Kluyveromyces lactis: one gene and its partner. The protein of the gene in region 1 purifies or fractionates together with the protein of each later gene. This does not show direct contact. Links are inferred from orthologs where the notes say so. Each region holds a gene or a part of one and is shown on either strand. Other genes may lie near its edges. The genes, in order: MRP13 and AIM23.

Region 1 (3,235 bases):
CAAGATGTCTGCTAAAGCTCAAAACCCTATGCGTGAATTGAAGATCGAGAAATTGGTCTTGAATATTTCTGTTGGTGAATCTGGTGACAGATTGACCAGAGCTTCCAAGGTTTTGGAACAATTGTCTGGTCAAACTCCAGTTCAATCCAAGGCTAGATACACTGTCAGAACTTTCGGTATCAGAAGAAACGAAAAGATTGCTGTCCACGTTACTGTTCGTGGTCCAAAGGCTGAAGAAATCTTGGAAAGAGGTTTGAAGGTCAAGGAATACCAATTGAGAAACAGAAACTTCTCTGCTACCGGTAACTTCGGTTTCGGTATCCAAGAACACATCGATTTGGGTATCAAGTACGACCCAGGTATCGGTATTTACGGTATGGATTTCTACATTGTCATGGGTAGACCAGGTGCCAGAGTCACCAGAAGAAAGAGATGTCAATCTAAAATCGGTAACTCTCACAAGACTTCCAAGGAAGACACCATCGCTTGGTTCAAGCAAAGATACGATGCTGAAGTTTTGGACAAATAAACAACCCATTTAAACTGAAAAAGTGTCCTATCTATCGTTTTATCAAAGCAAGAATATTATTATATCGTAATATATAGATAAATTATTATTTTTACTGCAAATATTAGAATATCTATATTGTTGCCTTTTCTAAATTGTCATTCAACGTCAACCGCCAGCGGTTATTCAATGAATCAATTTCCTGTCTATGAGATTCTTCCATGTTAGTTCTGTATTGAGATAATTGTTCCAACTGTTGTTTCTGAGTTTCTAGCACACCTCTGATCTGTTCTGTAACTGACTTCAACATTTCTTCTTGTACAATAAGCTGTTTCGGCAGCGTTTTGGATATCAGTCTTTCGAGACACAATTCCTGGTGCTTCAAATATGCGTATCGGACTTCTGCGGACATTTCTGGTCTCTCAAGCCATATTTGACTTCTCCATTTTTCAATATTGCCATCCACATCCTCATAAACATTGAAACTTTCCCTCAAACAGCCGTTTACTTCAATTTCTTCTCGAAATATGTCTGCCACCTTGCTGTGTAACGTCGTCTCATCGCTGGTTACACCATTGGCTTCAAGAGTAATTTTCTCGAGATACTCTTGATATCCCAACTCAGTATTCATTTTCAGTACAGAGTTCATGTTTGGTCTGGTTATTTAGTCTTTTCGGAGCTGGAATTAGCGAAGAGTGTTTCTTAGAACAGCTTATCGATGATTGCAATTAAGCATAAGTGCCCCAATGTCTTTATGCATAGACAGGTTTTTAATATGGTTTTTGATATCATCTTGTACGTGTTGAAAAATTTCATGTTTTCAACATTTCTATGTAGAGCGGAAACTAGCCAGAGGAAAGCTTGAAGATTGAATCACCACATCACAGTAGAAAAACACGCTTCATCAGCTGCAATCATTGGGATAACTCATCGGTTATTGGCAGAGGTAACACAATTAATACTCTGATTTGGTTGAAAAAGCCAGCGGTAGGAACAAAGGTCTGATTTTAATCCTCATATAACAGTCAAAGCAGCGAATGTTCTCTCGGTTTTTCACAAGATCGGTTTCAACTGGTGTAGAGTCTCGTGCGGTCTTTGACAACTTCTTACAATTTGTCAAGACACCACAGACTCTAAGACCATACATCTACCGCAAAAAGAATGCTAACCGTTTGTTGGCCATGGATTTGAAAGATCCAGAAACTAAACTTCCTATTCAACCTAGACCATCAGTGTTAAGACCAAGTGCATCAGTTCTCAATAGCGTCATATTGAACGCATCGTCAGCTGAAGAGTTGGAAAACATGGTTAGAGATTGGAAGAATATCACACCTAGAAGGAAAGAGTTCTGGAGTTATTTGATTCCCCAGCATCTACAAAACATGTTGTTAACTTCCACTTTCAAGTTTGGTGCTTTAGGAGCAGTTTTGAATGTTCTGTACCAAATACAGCCATTATTGGTGAAAGCAAAGCAATTAGAAGCCTATAACGTAGATGTATGGTATAATACTGTATTGATGTGTCAATTGCATAGAAATGCGTTCCAAAACGTTCAAGATTCCGGCATGGTAGAGAGAGGCCTAAGGAAGTTATCATCGACTGTTACCAAAAGAGAAGATACAACTGGTTTAACAAAGGAAATTGTTCAAGCTTTGGGTAGACAACAGAACGTTGAGGTGAAATTACCTAATTTCGCTAGAAATATTGAAATTAACTTGCCATCGATCGATGTTAGCACTGCAAGCCAAAATCAATTAAGGACTTTCTTGACAAAGAACACCACCCAGTATTTGTTGAGCAGAACAGCATTAGACTTCGGCTCAACTGAAGCTAAGCTGCAACAGTTTGTTGAAAACTATCAAGCCGTTTTAGCGCAAAACTCGGTTGCTGACATTTACGACAAATACGTATCCCAATACAAACAGCTGTTAACTCAAAAGGCTACTGAATCTGAAACGACAGAAGAAGCTCATGCAGATGCACAAGCAGAAGAAACGAAATAAAGGATAGACTTATCCGTAACCAATATTTCCCAGAACCGTTCATGTATATATATATAAGAATCAACGTCAGTTAAGAATATTACTAGAAATTCAAAAAACATTAACAAAATGACCATAATTCATAAAGAAACTCACACAATATACTTCTATTATATAATTATTGATGTGCCGTCACGGATTCATCGCAAATTGAGTAAATGTTCGTCAATTAGCGCCTGGTACCATGTCACTCCCGCTAGCCAACTCGGGCACTGAGTTTGTTCGATCTGCAAGGAAATCACCGTCAACGAGTTTTCCATCATTCTTTTTAAGAATTTCAATTTTGGTGAAATTATTCAAAAGCTGACATAAATACCAATCGATGATCTCGCAGTTCCTGTGATCCAACGGAAATCTATTGGCAAATAACGGTATACTTTGAGGTATCAAATCACCAATAATGACAGGAGGAGCTAAGGAGGCTTCAGGGAAAGAAACTAATACTGAAAAGACGGCAAATGCACAAGAAGGAGAAAAACCTTTATCTAATAAAGAGTTGAAGGAACTGAAAAAGAAGGAGAAGGCTGCAAAGAGAGCAGCCAGTAAGCAAGCTAGTGGTATCTCTATTGAAAAACAGCAGCAGCAAGCTGCTGCTAAGCGTGAAAAGAAGCAGCAACAAAGAGATCTCTTAGCTGCAAAAAAGAATAAAGCAGCCGACCCGGTCAAACATGATACCAAGAAGTCG
Region 2 (3,136 bases), on another chromosome or scaffold:
ATTCAAGCGTTCTGATTTCCATGCTCTCTTCGCAGTTGCTCAAGAGCTCAGAGCTGGTGTTGAAAGGGAAGGTGTTTTGGACGTCATGAAGAGCCGTGTTTTGACTACAATGTTCTACGAACCATCAACCCGTACATCATCTTCATTCATTGCTGCTATGGAACGTTTAGGTGGTAGAACTGTCAACATTAACACTTCTGCATCTTCTGTTAAGAAGGGTGAAACATTGCAAGATACCATCAGAACATTAGCCTGTTACTCTGATGCAATTGTCTTGAGACATCCAGACGAAATGTCTGCCCACATTGCTGCCAAGTACTCACCTGTTCCTATCATCAACGGTGGTAACGGTTCTCGTGAACATCCAACTCAAGCCTTCTTGGATCTATTCACTATTCGTGAAGAATTGGGTACTGTCAACGGTATCACTGTTACCTTTATGGGTGACTTGAAGTTCGGTAGACCAGTTCACTCCTTGTGTCGTTTGCTACAACATTACCAAGTTAGAATTAACTTGATCGCTCCTAAGGAATTGAGGTTGCCTAATGCCTTGCGTAAAGAATTGCAAGATTCTGGCTTATTAGGTATTGAAAGTGAAACACTAACACCTGAAATCATTTCCAAATCCGATGTGTTGTACTGTACAAGAGTGCAACAAGAAAGGTTCGAAACCGAGGAAGATTACTTGAAGCTCAAGGACACTTACATTGTTGACAATAAGATCTTGTCTCATGCTAAACAACAGATGGTGGTCATGCACCCACTACCTCGTGTTAATGAGATTCGTGAAGAGGTTGACTACGATCATCGTGCAGCTTACTTCAGACAAATGAGATATGGTTTGTTTGTCAGAATGGCATTGTTAGCCATGGTTATGGGTGTTGAATTATAAAGGAGCTAAACAGATTCGCGTTCGGAACTTTTTTCAGAATCAATCCAAAATCAAACAAAATAATTTAAACATGGAAGTAAATCGTTCATTTTACTTTAAATTCATCAGAAGGAATTCCTTAAACTAAGAAAACTCTTTTTTTGTGGGGACTTGAAAAGAGATATTTAATCGGAGGAAGAAAACTGATGAAATATGACTAAACTACCTTCATCTGTACCATAGTAATACAAGGACTTTCATAGTAGGAAAATAACTTCCTTAAAATTACAAAGTGACTTTTATCTATTGCACTTTCTATTCTTTGAAATGCTCAAAATTTCAGATACAATTAGTATATTTTGACATATATATCATTTTGTCGTACATATATAGTTCAAAGGTTTATCCTTACATTCACATCTGCATCGTTTAATACATTAATATTTCGCATCGACTTTATTTTCATTCTATTGTTCTCTTTTGTTTGAACCTATTCAGCTGTCAGTCTCTAGGCAAAACCAGCAACATATTAGTAAAAATGATCACGTGACAGATATCAACGCTTTCCCTTCTCTGTCAGAATATCTCAAAATCTTAATATGAAAGACAGTTGTATTTTTTTGATTTGATTAAGTTCAAGTCATCTCCGATGATAGAATTGCCTTGAAATGTGGTACGTTGGGCTGAAATAAATGAAGTACCACTATATACAGATGCTCAGAACTACTTTTAAATACAGCATTTCTTCAATACGTTTATTTTGCAATAATCGGGTTCTCCAGAACGAATCAAGGGCTGTATCGGATCTTCTTTTTAACCTACCAACATACAATCCAGCGACACATCGAAAGAGCGGTAACAATTCTCCACATAAAAATCGTGATAAACACCGCCATAGAAACGGTAATAAAGATCAACGGAATAAAAAACTTGTTTTCAGATGGAATAGTGGAACAGAGAAACAGCAGGCAGCTGCCAACTCGGTGCTAGAGGAAATACTAGCAATAAATTCAAAGGGTAACATCAAGGCAATCAATCCAGAAACTAGCAAGCTAGAAGAAGCCAATATTAGGAACTTTTTGAAGGGCGTTAACCTTGAGATAAATGGGATAGCTATGGTGAGTATCGATAATGCTGCGTCCGGAGATGTTCGTCTACCCATTGTCAAAGAAGTGCCAACAAGACAGGCATTAAAGAATTATTCCGACAAACTATCTAAAATTAAAGAAGAAGAACTTATAAAATTGGGTGTCAATATAAAGAAAACTGGCCGTCGCTCTCCAGACTCGAAAGCGGATTCATCTTGGAAATCAATCAAGGTTTCATGGCAAATATCGGATTATGATTTGAAAAAACAGAAATGTAGTGAAATTGTTTCTAATTTGGAAAAAGGTAGCAAGATTGCTCTTTTCATTAATGATAAAGACTCTTCTAACTTGTCACCTATAGATGAGGAGGAATTAGAAGCGATGCAGGAATCTTCTATTTCTAAAAAGGAAATGAAAAGAAGGGAAGAGGTTTTGGAGAAGCTAAACGAAATAATCAGCGAATATTCATCACAGATTACACAAGAAGGTTTGATCAATCAAAGAATAATTATGAAAGTAACTCCAAATCTTGTAAATACTAATAATGGAGTTGATAAAAAAGCTCTCAAGGAGCAACGGAAACGGGAAAGGCAGGAAAAGCTGCAACGCAGAATTGAGAAGAAAAAAACCAGCGATTCCACCGAATAACCAGGAAATATCTCGGACGATAGACGTTATAATGGCATATGTATCTTGTAAATATTGATAATTAGCGTACATATATCGAAAAATTTCACGTAATTGTGATGTATTCTAATGAATCAATAATGCTCCGATTAGCGAAAGGTCATGTAAGTCACCGTAGCCAAATTGTGGAATGGAAACTAATAAGTCATCTAATGGGGACTCAGCCAAATTGGAGCCGAAATTAGACCAACCCTTTTTCTTTTGCTCGGGGTTAACGAATTCAAGGTGTTTTAAAGCGGTTATGAGCAAATGTTTGGATCTCCAAAGTTCAACTGTTCTCTTCATTTCTGACATAGAGACACTCCAGATAGCACCAGCGCCATTAAAACTGCCCGGAGAAGAAAGAAATAGCCTTTTCCGGGAGTGTGAGAAGTGAACACCCTTACCAAACTCAATAGAGGACTTGACAGTGTTAAGGTCAACTAATGTGTCAAGTTCCAATATTAACCAGACCTCTAGTGCAGAGTTGCCAGCATCTTTGAATATGTAG

What was found.
Region 2: the proteins of MRP13 (region 1) and AIM23 purify together in Saccharomyces cerevisiae (affinity purification with mass spectrometry; 3 studies listed by BioGRID). This does not show direct contact. The link is inferred for Kluyveromyces lactis from reciprocal best matches to the Saccharomyces cerevisiae genes MRP13 and AIM23.

The regions. Positions count from the first base shown.
Region 1 is NC_006042.1:772,175-775,409, forward strand, and holds MRP13 (mitochondrial 37S ribosomal protein mS44 MRP13), read left to right. Parts: upstream 1-1,545; coding exon 1,546-2,511; downstream 2,512-3,235. Other genes in the region: RPL11A (60S ribosomal protein uL5), read left to right, coding at 5-529; KLLA0_F08283g (uncharacterized protein), read right to left, coding at 642-1,157; GCD2 (translation initiation factor eIF2B subunit delta), read left to right, coding at 2,951-3,235. UniProt on the Saccharomyces cerevisiae protein: Component of the mitochondrial ribosome (mitoribosome), a dedicated translation machinery responsible for the synthesis of mitochondrial genome-encoded proteins, including at least some of the essential transmembrane subunits of the mitochondrial respiratory chain.
Region 2 is NC_006041.1:1,376,536-1,379,671, forward strand, and holds AIM23 (Aim23p), read left to right. Parts: upstream 1-1,563; coding exon 1,564-2,607; downstream 2,608-3,136. Other genes in the region: URA2 (bifunctional carbamoylphosphate synthetase/aspartate transcarbamylase), read left to right, coding at 1-892; KLLA0_E15401g (uncharacterized protein), read right to left, coding at 2,713-3,136.